2 linked regions of the Caenorhabditis elegans genome follow. The protein of the gene in region 1 interacts with the protein of each later gene in a pairwise test. Each region holds a gene or a part of one and is shown on either strand. Other genes may lie near its edges.

Region 1 (7,514 bases):
TCGAAAAAAAAATTTTTTTTTTAACTTTTACGGCAAAATTCGAAAAATTCCGTAATTTTCGGCAATTTTTCTAACTTTTTCTGTCGAAAAAATCACAATTTTCACAATTTCAGTCAAATTTCAGCTTTTTTTTGATTTTTAAAAGAGATATTTCGTGTGTGAAAAATCACAAAATCAAGACAATTTCACCAATTTTTTCGGGGTTTTTGCATGGAAAAACTCATTTTTGTCCGAATTTTTTAAAGTTTAAAATTTCCAGGCCGTAGAAGTACCTGAAACTCGAGCCTGCAAAGCTTTATGCTCAATCTGAATATCTGGATTTGCGCCGAGGTCAACCATAAGAATACTCGTCCGATTCACATATTGCTCGGCTTCATCAATTTCAGAACAGTCGAGAAGAAGCTTCGTAATTCGAATGCACAGCTGGGCCTTGGCGCCTTCTTTCGCCGCTTGTGGGCCGTTGAATTTCGGGCTTGTGTCGGAATTTATTGCGATTAGGGCCTGGGCCGCGTCCTTGATACGGCCTTCTTTTTCGTAGAGGCTTGCAAGCATGAGGCGGAGGATACAGACCTGAAAAATTGGGATTTTAGGCTTAAAAAAGGGTCTTTTAACGAAAAATGTGTGACTTTTAGGACATTTTTCCAATTTTTTTCAATTTTTCGCATAAAATTAAATAAAAATGGAATTTTTGCCTTTTTTTTTTCAAATTTTCAGTTTCAAAATAAAAAGCTTTAAAAAAGTGGAAATTTCTAGTTTTTAGGCTTAAAATAGGCTTCTTAGACGAAAATTTTCAAGCTTTTCGTTAAAAAAAAACAGGAAAAAATTAATATTTGTATAAAAAAATTGAATTATCAGCTAAAAATTACAATTTTTGCACTTTTTCAGTGCAAAATTTGTATTTCTTTTAGAATTTTACGCCAAATTCTACTTTTTTCCCTCCATTTTTCACAATTTTTCATTGAAAACTCAATTTTTCTAGATTTTTCTAGGTGAAATAATTTTTTATTTTTAAACTGAAAAGAGTTTCGATATTTTCCAGAATTTTGCCCTTTTTCTTCAATTTTTCTTCAATTTTATAACGTTTTTCTCGATAAATAAGGGGTTAAGCCTGAGCCTGAGCCTAAAGCCCAAAATATCGGAAAAAAAAAACGATTGAAAATTTTTCCGAAAAATCACATAAAATCCTGAATTTTAAATCGAAATTTTTTTGAATTTCTGCTAAAAAACTCCAAAAATTCCGAATTTTTTTTTTCAAATATCTTCAAATTTTCCGCAGAATCCCATAAAATCGTTCGTTTTTCTTCAAATTTTTCAATTTTTTCTGCAAAATGCTCCATTTCACTGCAACTTTGTCCTCACGAGGGACGAGGAAAAGTGGTTTCTAGGCCAAGGCCGAGGGGCCGACAAGTTTCAGCGGCCATTTATCTTGCTTTGTTTTCCGCCTGTTTTCTTTTGTTTTTCACAGCTTTGTCCCATTTTTTCTTATTAAAACTGATAAATCAATATTTTTTGCAGATGCTAAAACAATTTCCAAGTAAAAAAATTATGTATTCAGTGGGCAAGCAGCGGTGAAAGTGGTCAATGCAATATGATGGATTACGGGAATACAAAACCTAACCTTTTTCTGAAACATGATACATATGATGCTTAGATGCTGAAATTACCTGATTTTCATAACGAGACCGCTGAAAAAGTTTTGAGATTTCCACAATTCAACTTTTTTGGTGAAAAAGTCGAGATTTTCGCACAAAAAGTTGAATTTTGGAAACCTCAAAACTTTTTCAGCGGTCTTGATATGAAAATCAGGTAGCTTCAGCATCTAAGCATCATATGTATCATGTTTCAGAAAAAATTTAGGTTTTGTATTCCCGTAATCCATCATATTACAATGCCCACTTTCACCGCTGCTTGCCCACTGAATACATAATTTTTTTACTTCGAAATTGTTTTATCATCTGCAAAAAATATTTATTTATCAGTTTTAATAAGAAAAAACGGGAAAAAGCTGTGAAAAACGAAAGAAAACAGGCGGAAAACAAAGCAAGATAAATGGCCGCTGAAACTTGTCGGCCCCTCGGCCATGGCCTAGAAACCACTGTTCCTCGTCCCTCGTGAGGAAAAAGTTGCAGTGCATTTCCAAGTACCTGATCCTCATAAGAGATGGTTCGAGTCTTAATAATCGCCAAAATTCCTTCTGAAATAGCCTTAACACATTCTGATTCCAAATGTTGATTATCCAATCTTTCAGTGATAAGTGATACAAATTGACGTGATACAACCATACTTCCAGTCTCCAATGCGATTACTGCAAACATTTTTGGGGTTATAGGCTGCTAAAAATTCTAAAAGAAATACAAATTTTGCACTGAAACAGTGCAAAAATTGTAATTTTTAGCTGATAATTCAATTTTTTTATACAAATATTAATTTTTTCCTGTTTTTTTTAACGAAAAGCTTGAAAATCTTCGTCTAAGAAGCCTATTTTAAGCCTAAAAACTAGAAATTTCCACTTTTTTAAAGCTTTATTTTGAACCTGAAAATTTGAAAAAAAAATGGTAAAAAAATTCCATTTTTATTTAATTTTATGCGAAAAATTGAAAAATGTCCTAAAAGTCACATTTTTCGTTAAAAGGCCCTATTTTAAGCCTAAAATTGGCTGAAAATCCAATTATTCTGGAAAAAAAGTTAAATAATCACTTTTTCCGTGGAAAAAACAGCTGAAAATCCGATTTTTTCAAGAAAAATATATCAAAATCCCTGAAAACTCGATTTTTTCGTGAAAAATCAGCTGAAAATCGCTTAAAAACGCAGAACATTGAGAATTTTCGAGAAAAATCGTTGAAAAACGCACTTTTTCCGTGGAAAAACGGTTTGAAAATTTGAGTTTCTTAATTCAAATTTTTCAAGAAAAATCCAATTTTTGGGGGTTTTTTTTGGCTTCTGAGGGTGAAAAAGGCTCAAAATCTGAATTTTCTGTGAAAAATCGGTAAAAGGTCGCTTTTTATACCGGAAAAATCGAATTGTTCGAGGAAAATCTTTAGAAATTCAATTTTTCCCGCGAAAAAACGGTTGAAAACTACTGGCTGAAAATCACATTTACCGTGAAAAATTGGAAATTTCGCGTTTTTTAAAGGAAATTTTTAACTTTTCAAAAAAAAAAAACAAAACTGCAGAAAACGAACGAAAAATTGGATTTTTGTGAAAATTCATAAATTACATTGAAAAATTTTTTTTTTTGGATTTGGAGCTGAATATTGGCAGAAAATCCGATTTTTTCAGGAAAAATCTTTAAAAATTTACATTTTTTTTTACAAAATGGACTCAAAATTAGCTTAAATCGCTCGAAAAAGGCTGAAAATTCCATATTTTTCACTTAAAATATTTCACTTAAAATATGGAATTTTCAGCCTTTTTTGAGCGATTTAAGCTAATTTTGAGTCCATTTTGTAAAAAAAAATGTAAATTTTTAAAGATTTTTCCTGAAAAAATCGGATTTTCTGCCAATTTTCAGCTCCAAAAATTCAAAAAAAAATTTTTTTCAATGTAATTTATTTATTTCCAGCTAAATTTCAACAGGAATTCCGAAAATGTTCTCGTTTTCCGTCAATTTTTATCGAGATTTATCGATTTTCAGCCAGATTCCAACCAAATTGTCCAATTTTGAGCGATTTTCGTCCATTTTTTCACCAAAACTCATCATTTTTCGTAATTTTTAGCCAGATTCCCACTGAAAAATCCGAAATTTTCGTCGTGTTCCAACCTGTATCAATGATTTTAATAATTTCCGCCGTATCGACTCGTCCCATCGCATTTTGTGGCAAATATTTGTTGCAAAGCTTCGCCAATCTGCAAAAATCGGGGAATTTTTTGTCTGAAAATCGAGAAAATTTCGGCTTTTTAGCTAAAAAATTACATGAAATTTCAGAAAATCACATTTTACGTGAAAAAGCTGAAATTTTTAGCGTGATTTTCAGCAAAAAAATTAAAAAATTTTTTTAATTTGAGAATTTTCGAGTTTTTTGATACAAAAATTGGAAATTTTTTAGCTAATAATTAGTTTTTTTCCAATTTTTGAACGAAAAAAGTGCGGGATTTGTAAGAATTTTTCATTTCAAAATTCGTAGAAAATAAATGAAAACTTGAGTTTTTAAATAGAATTTTTCAGATTTTAAGTATAAAAATTTGAAAATTTCAGATTTTCTGGAAAAAAAAGATAAAAATTTCAATTTTTCGCGAATTTTACTAATTTTTTAAATTAGGAAATGTTTTTGCGTGAAAATTCGTTTTTTTTTCAAAATTTCTACATAGCTAAAATCGTTTTTTTTTTTTCATATTTTTTCAGCTGAAAATTTACAAAATTCAGATTTTCCAATGAAAAATACAAAAATTTGGGATTTTTTGCTAAAAATTTCCAGATTTTCACATTTTTAGCTCCAAATTTTCTCAAAAATCCAAAAATATTACGCTTCATATTGAGCCTTGTGATCGGTATCCTGTGCAAAAATGACCGCCACCTCCTGTGAACGTTCAATTTCGCCGCTCATTTTCAGCTGAAATTGTGGAAATTTTACAACAAAATTTTGGGGGGAATTTTCAGATAAAAATATAGGAAATTCGACTATTTTTTCTTTAAAATTTCTAATTTTTTGTGATTTTTTTGGAGAATTTTATAACAAACACAACGTGAAGCAAAAAACGAGAAAAAAAAACAAAATTTCGAGGGGGAAAAGCTGAAAATTATAGAATTTAAGGCGCAATTTTAAGATCATAAACTGTGATTTTCAGATTCAGAACGGGTTGGGGGATAGCATTAAAAATTATGGAGAATTGGAGGAAAAAGGCTGAAATTCGGCTGAAAATGGGGCAAAAGTTCGATTTTTCAGAAGAAAATGACAATTTTAAGCCCATTTTCTGGCAAAAACTGGAAAATTTTGGCTGAAAAATGCAAATTTTTAGCTAAATTTGACCAAAATCGAGTAAATTTGGAACTGAATTTTCGCGTTAAAAAAAAAAAATTAATTTTTAAGCAAAAATCGAATTTTCAGCTCATTTTCCAGCGAAAATCAATAAAAACGGGGAAATTGCAAAAAATCATACGGAGAAGGCATATAGAGCGGGAAAATTTAAAAAATACGGGGAAAAATGGTGGAAAATGAGCTAAAAACTGTTAAGCGAATTTTCAAGATAATTGCAATTTCAGCTCAATTCCCAGGGAAACGGCGGGGAAATTCGAGGGGAAAATCTGAAAAAGTGGGGGAAAATTGTCTAAAATTTCGCTGAAAAATCGATTTTCAGCTCATTTTCACTCAAATTTCCCCAATTTTTCAGCAAAAATGCACACAAAAAAATTAGGCCATTCCATCGTCATCCTCATCTTGAGCCTTTGGTCCACGTGGTTTTGGTCCTCCAGTCGCCTGCTTTGACATAATAATCTGATCAACTTTGAGAATTGTGCTGGCGGCGTCTGTGGCGAGCTTAATTGCCAGTCGTTTTCCAGCGTAGAGGTCGAAAATGTTGTTGACGACGGCGTCCATTGTTTCTGAAAAAAAAGAAGGAATTTTAGTTTAAAATTCGGGATTTTTCAGAATTTTGATTGAAAATTTACAAGTTTTATGCGCTGGAAATTGACATTTTTAGCCAAAATTTCGGGGGGTTTTGAGGAATTTTTACCTGAAAATTTGGCATTTTTCAGAGTTGAAAATGGCCGATTTTTGGCTGAGTTTTCGATTTTTTCATTCAATTTTTTGCATTTTTGAGTTGATTTAAAGAAATTTCAGTTGAAAATTTCGGATTTTCAGCTAATTTTCTGAGCTTGAACCGAAAAGTTGAGGTTTTTCAAAAGGAAAATTGGCCAATTTTGATTAAAACTTGAAAATTTTCTGTCAGTTTGCTGATATTTTTTTTTGGAATTTTTAGCAAAAATTGAATGTGTTGTCTGGAATTGGGGGATTTTTTTTGGAAATTTTGACGTTTTTTGGAAGAATTTCAGTTGACTTTTGACTGAAAATTGCCTATTTTTAGCGAAAATTCCGGGTTTTGTGAGGGTTTCCAGCTGTGAAAAATCAGTTATTTTAATGCAAAAACTGAAGAAAACTTTAAAAAAGTGAAGCAAAACAAAAGAAAATTGATGTTTCCGGTCACATTTTCAGTCAAAAATGCACATTTTCAGGTAAAATTCAAGTTTTTCGGCCATTTTTCGACCTAAATTATTGGATTTACAGTGGAAAATTTAGGTTTTCGGCGAATTTCAGCCGAAATTGTTAGATTTTCAGCAGAAACAGCGGAATTCCGGTGAAAATTCAAATTTTCAGTTAGAAATGTTTTCGGTAAATTTCAGCAGAAAATTTTGAATTTTCAGTCAAAAATTAAAGTTTTCCAGTCATTTTTCGACCTAAATTGTCAGATTTTAAACCGAAAATTCGATTTTCTTCGAATTTTCAGTGCTTTCATTGGGTTTTTTCAAGCCGTACCCCGCTTCCAGATATCAATTCCAGCGTTTTTCTTTCCAGCAACATGCTCCGCGTAGAGTTTTGTCAGAGTTTCAGTGGTTGGCATTCCAGCGTTCTCAGCAATAGCTTTTGGAAGAGTTTCGAGTGCGTGGGCGAACTTTTTGATTGCATATTGCTCCAAACCAGGTGCTTTTGCTCCAAACGACTCAATTTCTTTGGCGAGCTCAATTTCGACGGCTCCGGCTCCGGCGAGCAATTTCCCGTCTTTTGTAAGAGCTTTATAGGTGTTTACAGCATCATCGACAGCTCTTTCGACGTCATCAATACGAGATTGAGAGGATCCACGGATTATGATTGTGGCGACTTTTCCGGTTTCTGAAAATTTGAGAAAATTGAGATTTGAAGCTGAAAATTTGAATTTTTGGCTAAAAATTGGCTTTTTCAGTGATAATTTTAACATTTTCAGCTGAAATGGTAAATTTTTGGCCAAAATATTGGGAATTTACAGCTCAAATTTTGAGGTTTTATTTGCAAAATTTTCAAAAATCTAAATTTTTAAGTAAAAAACCGGAATTTTCAGCTGAAATTTCAGTTTTCAAGTGAAAATTCACAGAAAATGGCAAATTATCGGTGAAAAACACCTCGTGGGAGTCCAAATCTTCAAAAACAGGCCGTTTTTGAAATAAAAATTCATTAAAAAGTGACAATTTTCAGGTAAAAACGGTAGAAATTTTGGTCTAAGCTCATCAAATTCCGCAGTTTTATACGAAAATCACAATTTTCGACTGAAAACCGTCGAAAATTCCGAATTTTTTGGTCTAACATTGTAAAAATCATACTTGTTTGAGTCAAAACTCGCCAAATCGTTTTTTTAAAAGGTTTCCAGAGCTAAAAATTACAAAAAATCGGAGAATTCCCGTTTTGGGGGTCAAAATTTCCTAAATTCTCAGTTTTTCCACATTATATACCCGATTTCTTATCGAAAACGACGACATTTTCGTCTCCAATCTCTTGAACAGCCACAGAATCACAGTGTCCCAACAGATTAACAGCTGGAGCACAGAT
Region 2 (8,386 bases), about 12 Mb from region 1:
ACGCTCAACTCTACTGTTCCAACGGAACCCGTGGTGGGACCTGTGGAACCTACAGTACCTACAGTACCCGCCACAAAAGAGACTGGCCCTTCAAGCTCTGCAGAGTGCTCTACCCAACCCGCCGTTGCCGAGCAAGAAGACAACTCCCTTTTGGCACAACTTTTAAAAGGAAAAATCACGTCTGATGATGCAAAGTTGCAACCACCACGTGGACCTTTCGAATACGCACCGATGCTCTCCGAGGAGGCACAATTTGCGATTAAGCTGGCGGGTCTTCTCAACCCGAATCCGGTCACTGAACAGGACCCGAGCACTTTCAAGCCGCCTCCGAAAATGAGCAATAATGTTCGAAAAAACATTAATTTGACTCCGGTTATTGAGAATGCAGTTCCGAGTGGATTTGAACTGGAAAGTCCGAAAGATCAGGCATTTGATGTGGTTCATGGAAGACTATCTATGGGACAGAATCAGACATGTTATTTTGTACGTTTACGGTAGAAGTTCAATATTAAAATTTAAATAATCTTCCAGGTCACAGTCGAGGAAATGAGACGAAGATTGCAAAGTCCGGAGAAGCTCAATAGTTCGAGTATCGCATGCAATCTTAAAAGGCCAAAACTGAAGAATGGAGGTGAACTGATGCGCGCTCAACTGAGAGATCATGGAATCAAGGTTCAACTGAATGCGAAACAGAAGGCTTTTCCCAACAAAGTGATCGCTTTGGTCGAAGCGGAAGCTGTTCATTTGGGACTTGATCTTGGAACAGCTGTACGAGATGATTATCCAGTTCAAGATATAATTCAAGAAGTTGCTCATGAAGCATTGGCTGACGAGGATGCAGATCTGGATGCGTTGATGAATGATAAGGATTTCACGTAAGTTGACTATATTCCAATTTCTCAATTCTGACGCCAAATTCCAAATATTTCAGAGAATGTATGTCAGCACTTGAATCAGTTTTCACATCAGTCGTCCCTCCGATCACTGGAATCGAGCCAAAACCGTCGAACAACATGCGACTGAACAATGGAATGGAGACCTTTTCATCAGCTTCACATGGACTTGGAATCGTGTCTCAACGGGTTTGGCTCCCCCAATTGACTGCAATCGGAAATGGAGTCGCATCTGAACTTCGACGCTTGACAGAGACGCCAACTGAATCAAAGCCAGAGGAATTGAAAGCATAAATTCATATTTTCATATTCTGATATTTAAAACAATCTGATTACCAAGGTCTCACTTATTTTCCATGATCTCTATGATGTTTTCACTTAATTTCAATGAAACTTTTTATTTATTTAAATCCTCATACGATGTTCCTTAGTACTAGGAAATGCATCATTAAAAATGATTTTCATATTGCTAGTACGTCTTATAGAGTAGCTTCGAATTCACTTTATACATTTGAATAATATTGAATTTTATAGGTTTTACACATCATTTTGATCATTTTGATGTGTAAAACTTTGAAAAATTCATTATTATTCAAATGTATAAAATGAATTCGAAGCTTCTCTATAAGACGTACTAGCAACATGAAAATAATTTTTAATGATACATATTCCAAAACTGAAAATTAGGAATTTCTTTACCCCCGTTCCTCACGTGAAAACATTTATTGACCCTGTGGCAATGTGCGCTTGCGCGTCTGCGTCTCCAGAAGGCGTAATCTCTCGTGTTCAAACACTTTCTCAACTGACCATTTGTTTGCGTCGTTGCCGACGGCTTAACCATATGTTGCCTTTTCCCCCTTACATTTATACAAGACAGTAATATTAATAAATCGGTTTGATCTACAAAAATGCGGGAATTTTTTGGTCAAAAAATGTGACGTCAGCACGTTCTTAACCATTCGAAATCAGTTGACAGCTCTGCATCTAAATTCCCGCATTTTTTGTAGATCTAAGTAAATCCAGCTGAAATGAGCCATCTGACACCACGTGATTTACTGAAACATTATTTTCCAGTCAAAAATGGGATTAGCTCAGTCCCACTCGCGGACGCCCTCTCGTGATCCACTTCCAAATGACCATCAAGTAATGGATGTGTATGAAGAGTCTGGTCCAAGACGGGGAAGAAAACGAAAAGCGGCAAAAGGAAGTGAGATTGAGATGAAGAAAGTGGCAAAACTGAACACATGTGCATATGTATATCAGAAATTGTTTTTACAGGTTAGAATAAATTGAATTTTTAGTGCAAAATGGGTAACTAAAATATGGAGTTGACTAAATTAATGCAATAAAATTCCAAAATGAATGTTTTGTTTCAACAAATTTGAGATTTCTTCGTCACGAATCTGGTAAATTGTGTTTTTTTTTAATTTTGTAACATGGAAAAAGAAAAAACTGATTATTTAGTTCGAAAACCTACATTTTAGTATTTTTTCACTAATTATGCCAACTATATACCGTATTTCCTCTATTAGTCTTGCATGCAAGAGAAAATTGCCAAAATTGTTACTATTGTGCTGAAATTTTATTCTCAGAATTTTTAAAATTACAGGCAAAACAGGGCCACTCGTAATTTTGAACGTCTACCAAAAATTGATTTTTACTATGATTTTGGAATTTTTAAAATTCCGGAAATATCGTAAATTTTTCCAAAAGTCCAAATTTTTTGAAAATTTGACATTTTATCAAAGATTTTTTCGGCGTTTTTCAATTGAGACATATCTTTTTTTCGCATTTTGAGTATGCAATTGATGAAAAATTTCAGAATTATCACAAATTTCAGTACAAAACAGTTTAATACTGAGAAATTAATTTTTTAAAAACTTAATTTTCACAGGTATGTAGTTTCAGAAATTTTCACTCAATCAGAGGTGCGCGACAATCGAGTTTTCGGCAATTTCGGAAATTGCCAAACATTTTGAAACCCAGCAATTGTCGGAATTGCCGGAAATTTCCAAAACCGGCAATTGCCGAAACTGCCTATTGCCGAAAATTTTGAAAACCGGCAATTATCGGAATTGCCGGAAATTTCCAAAACCGGCAATTGGCGAAATTGCCGGAAATTTTGAAGACCGGCACTTGCCGAAAATTTCCAAAACCGGCAATTGCCGTAAATTTTGAAAACCGGCAAATGTCAGAATTGCCGGAAATTTCCGATTGCCGCCAAAAAACTATGACCATAATTATTTTGAAATTCCTTTGTATAATTAGTAGGGAAAGAAAACAATTCAATTGAAAGAAATTTGGAAATTTTCTCAAATTTCGTTATTTTTTCAGGGAGAAAATTCGGACATTGTCCTGGCTGCGTGTGGCAGGGAATGGAGGGTTCACAAGCTTTATCTAAAGCAGACCAAATTTTTTGAAGTGAGTTTTTTGAATTGTTTCAAATTAATTTCGAATGCTTTTAGTCAATGTTCGATGGTTTATGGACAGAGTCGAATAGTGGAAGAGTTCAGATGGAAATAACAGATCCGAATATTGACGCAGATGGTCTAAACTCGGTGCTCGGAAGTCTATATCACAATGAGATTGAGATAGATTTGGATAAAATCGAGGGAACTGTGGCAGCGGCTTCATATATTGTACTTGATAGTGTCACAGATAGATGTTCAGAAATGATGATTGAAGCATTAAGCACAAAGAATGCAGTTCGATTCTACGATGTTTCAACTAAATATGGTCTGGAGAAGGTTCGAGAGAAATCGATGGAAGTATTGTTACACCAATTTTGGAAAATAATGACTGATAGGGAGAAGCTCAATGAAGTTGATCGACAGCTTTTTGTGACGCTTCTCAATTCACCCAATCTTTTGATAATTGAAGGCGAATTTGATCTTTATAAAGTTGTTAAATCTGTAAGTCATTTCTCATTCCCGAAAATTTAAAACCGAATTTTAATAATGAGGCTTCTCAAAAATTCGAAAAAAAGTCCAATTTTGCTAAAATCAGCTGGTTCAACAATGAAAAGTTGGCGAAATTTGGCTCGAATTTTTTGGGGGCCAGTATGAGTATTTTAAAACAGTGAAAATTTTTACACTTTTTCACTTTTAATTATCAATAGCAGAAACTAATTCTTCCTAGAACTACAGTAATCCTACACTGCTCCCCAGGGGAGCGCGGCAATTTCCAGAATTGCCGGAAATTTTGAAAACCGGCAATTGCTGGAATTGCCGGAAATTTTGAAAAGCGGCAAATGCCGGAATTTCCTAAACCTTCCGAAACCGGCAACTGCCGCAACTGACGGCAACTGGCAACTGAAACTGGCAATTGCCGGAATTGCCGATTGCCCGAAATTTTGAAAGGCAGCAAATGCCTAAATTGCCGGAAATTTTGAAAACCGGCAAATTCCGAAATTGTCGATTGCCAGAAATTATGAAAACCGGCAATTGCCGGAATCGCCTAAAATTTCCAAAACCAGCAATTGCCGGAATTTCCGATTGTCGGAAACTTTAACAACCGGCAATTGTCCGACTTGCCGATTGCCGGAAATTTTGAAAACCGGCAATTGTCCGGAATGGCCGGGAATTTTTGAACACCGGCAATTGCCGGAATTCCCGATTGCCGAAAGTTTTGAAAACAGGCAATTGCCGGAATCGCCGGAAATTTCTAAAACCGGCAATTATCGGAATTGCCGATTGCCGAAAATGTTGAAAACAGGCAATTGCCGGAATCGCCGGAAATTTCCAAAACCGGCAATTATCGGAATTGCCGATTGCCCGAAATTTCCAAAACCGGCAATTGCCGGAATTGTCGATTGCCGGAAATGTTGAAAACAGGCAATTGCCGGAATTGCCGATTGACAAGAATTTTGAAAACCGGCAATCGCCGCAAATTTTCACATCTACAACACTACTACGAGACCCCGACAACTCATTATTCAAACTACAGTACCCCTACAGTAGCCCTACACTAAACCCAACCCTCCACTATTTCGAAAGACAAATTCTAATTTTTTCTGACTATAAATAAAAATTGTATTTTATATATAGAAAATGATTACAGTGGATCTACATGCGAGAAGTGCCCGATTGCTGCAAGGATGACAGTCCAGAGACTTTCACTCAAAATGCTTCCAAATTTTTCAAAGAATCGAAAACTTCAATGTTCATAAAATATGCGGATATCTTTGCCAGTCTACGAATAGAACAGTTTTTGACATGTTCTGAAACTATAAAAACAGTCAAATCAGATGCATTAATTCCGTTGTCAATTGTTGATGAAATGACGTCAGCACTTTGGTCATCACTTTTAGAAAATGAAGAAAGTCCAAAGTAAGTTCGAAAGTCGACAGAATAGTGATAAACTTTGAGCTGTTCAGAACACTTGAAATGGATGATGATGAGTTTTTTAAACGATGTATTAGGCTTGGTAGATCATTGGATTCATTCCCGGTTAGTTACTTATTCGAAATCTAAAAAATCTTTTTAAAATTATAGAAATGCTGGCGATGGATAGGATTCAATTTCGGAGTTGATCTACTTCTTCATGTAAACGACTATTCTGTATGTATAAAACGAAATTGTCTCAACCAAAAAGCTCCGTATTCGGTGAACTTAAAGTCTAAACATGTTCTACATTACCGGTAAGTTGTTGGTTGCCACGATTTTCAAGATAAATAGTCAAATTCAGACTGGTCATTTGCGACTCAAATGGTCAAATCCTCTATGACAGTGGAAAAACCACGTGGGAAATGAAGCCAGATGAAGCTAGAACAATCTATCGAATGAGTGAAGACTTGGCAACTCAGATATCAGTTCACTTTCAGTATCTGATTCATCAACCGATTTGTAGTACAGGTCATTATGTGAACAAGTATCTAGATGATCAGAATTCTACTGATGATGAAGACGATGAGGAAGAAGAAGATGATGATGGAGATGACGAAGAAGACAGCTCGTAGTTTTCAATTATCGGAGGACTGACGGTTCGGACGATTTCAAACTTATAGACCCAAAATGTGCTCAAATGAAAGAATTTCGTAATGAAACTTCTCAAAAATTTTTCAAAGATTTTTTTATGGCGGTTAAAAAATTAAAAAAATATTACACTGAATTTAGCTAAAATCCCGAATTTTGGCCACTTTTCCGTATCATATCTGTCCGAAGTTTACTTTTTCGGAATTATCATCCTTTATTGCATATTTTGGTACTTTATCTTATTTAATTTCGTTTATTAAAGTACATTTAAAGGCGATAGGTAACCAAAAATCATCGAAATTGGCTAACTATCGGCTTAAATGTACTACCAAAAAATGCAATAAAGGATGATAATTCCAAAAAAGTCAACTTCGGACAGATGTAACACAGAAAAGTAGCCGAAATTCGAGATTTTAGTTAAAATCAGTGTAATTTTTTCGAAATTTTGAACCACCATAAAAATTTTTTGAAACATTTTTGAGAAGTTTCATTACGAAATTTGTCCATTTCAGCCCATTTTGGGTGTATACGTTCAAAACCGTCCGAACCGTTAGTCCTCCTATAAATGTTTTTTCTTGTGCATTATGTATTAGAACCCAACTTGTACATCTATGAACATGTAATATATATCTATGCAACATAATAATAATAAAAACAATTGCATCTATATCACTGACTAAGTATTTTGAGTGTGTCTCAGCCAGTTCTCAAGGGCAGAACCTGATATATATATATTGATGGGTGACTTCACGCTGTGAACTTTCGATTATTTGCCGATATATTTTGCCCACCTTCACACAACCCTTCACGCAGGACTTCTTTAATGAAGCGAACATGATCCGAATAGCCTTTGCCGTTCTTATTTTAGTTTCGGTGGTTACCACACAACCACTGCTATTTCCGCACGGATGGTTCGAAAGCAAGAATTTACGACCGCGAGATGCAATTATGCTGAACATGATGGCACAGTCGAATCTTGAATATGGAGGTGTAACCTTAGAGGTAATTGGAATAGTGTGCGTTTAGTCATTTTTTACAAGAATGTAGGTTAAAATGGCCCAAAAGACCAAATTTAACAATAAGACTTTTTTGAAAATTCCCAAAAATGTTTCAAAATTTCGATTTAAATTAATTCAGTCTGAACCTAGAATTTTGCTTTTTTCAATCACAGATAACGAATTAATTATATTTTTGACGGGGGTATTTGAATATTAGGTACTTGTGCATTACATGCCCTCATTTTCAAATTAAATTAAATTGTCATTAATTTCTCCAATTAAAATAAACGTGATATACATTTTTCCTCTTTAGGCTTAGAAAATGTTATTTTCTAAGCCTAAAAATACAAATTGTGGTTCACGTTTTTATTTTTCATGGCTTAAAAAATTACTATTAAGATGAGGGCATGTAATACACAAGTACCGAATATTACAGGAACATTTAAAATCTGAGAATGCGTATTGTGCAACATATTTGACGCGCAAAATATCTCGTAGCGAAAACTACTACAGTAACCCTTTAAATGCCTACTGTAGAGCTTGTGTCGATTTACTGATATCATTTTGTAATCGATCAAAAATATTGTAAGAAAACAAAAAATGGCATTAAAAACTATTTTTAAAAAATTGGAAAGCGGAAATTTTTCGATTGTTCAATTTTCCGCTATTTCGAAAAAATCGATTTTTTTGAGAAATAGCTTAAAATTTCGGTATTTTTCTTTTTTATATGAAAAATATATATTTTTCATGTTTTTTCTCATCAACATGAACAAAATTTGGTTAAAAAATTATATTTTATGGTTTATTTTATTTTCCGAATAATCGAACATTTTTCATTTTTAGTTTTCCCTGGAAAAATCAGAAAATCGTTTCGGAAATCGAGCCCGTTAATCGACACAAGCGCTACAGTAGTCACTTAAATTATTACTGTAGTTTTCGCTACGAGATGTTTTGCGCGTCGAATATGTTGCATCCTCAGATATTTGTGTTCCCGTAAAAATAAAAATACTTACAAAATTGGAGATTTTACCTAAATTTTAGTCCACAATAAATTTTTACACGATTTCAAAGAAGTCTCGTTATAAAATTCTGTCTTTTGGGACCATTTCGAGCACGTTTTAAAAATCGGCGAAAAAAATTGAACCCAAAATAACGTGGTGCCAGAGTGTCCCATATTGGTTTGATCTACGTAGATCTACTAAAAATGCGGGAGAAGAGACGCAGGCTTCTCAACTGATTTCACATGGTTGAGAGCGTGGTGACGTCACATTTATTGGGCAAAAAATTCCCGCATTTTGTGTAGATCAGCCCGTGATGGGACAGTCTGACATCACGTGAAAATGCGTCAGTATTAGAAATACTATAGAACTCTACATTTTAGGAGCTAGACAAGCTTGATGCCGTTCGAAAGCAGATTCCTCGTCCAGAAAAGTTAGCAAGAGATCGAGAGGAAGACGATGTGGAGCTGGATAGACAACCAATTTTTACAGCGGAAGGTGAAAAGATTGCAGTTGAGAAGAAG

Evidence for each region. The genes of interacting proteins can lie anywhere in the genome.
Region 2: the proteins of csn-4 (region 1) and gcl-1 interact in a two-hybrid assay, tested with the Caenorhabditis elegans proteins (one large-scale study listed by BioGRID).

Annotation. Positions count from the first base shown.
Region 1 is NC_003282.8:1,082,464-1,089,977, forward strand, and holds the start of csn-4 (COP9 signalosome complex subunit 4), read right to left. Parts: upstream 4,551-7,514; 5' UTR 4,545-4,550; coding exon 4,465-4,544; intron 3,847-4,464; coding exon 3,761-3,846; intron 2,306-3,760; coding exon 2,145-2,305; intron 571-2,144; coding exon 273-570; intron 1-272. Other genes in the region: cct-8 (T-complex protein 1 subunit theta), read right to left, coding at 5,349-5,539, 6,471-6,824, 7,418-7,514. UniProt on the Caenorhabditis elegans protein: Component of the COP9 signalosome complex (CSN), a complex involved in various cellular and developmental processes.
Region 2 is NC_003282.8:13,406,477-13,414,862, reverse strand, and holds gcl-1 (BTB domain-containing protein), read left to right. Parts: upstream 1-1,967; 5' UTR 1,968-1,973; coding exon 1,974-2,171; intron 2,172-3,227; coding exon 3,228-3,314; intron 3,315-3,358; coding exon 3,359-3,805; intron 3,806-4,952; coding exon 4,953-5,221; intron 5,222-5,268; coding exon 5,269-5,341; intron 5,342-5,386; coding exon 5,387-5,532; intron 5,533-5,579; coding exon 5,580-5,850; 3' UTR 5,851-6,538; downstream 6,539-8,386. Other genes in the region: Transcription factor aptf-2, read left to right, coding at 1-483, 532-875, 932-1,187; Y62E10A.19 (Neuropeptide-Like Protein), read left to right, coding at 6,701-6,868, 8,246-8,386.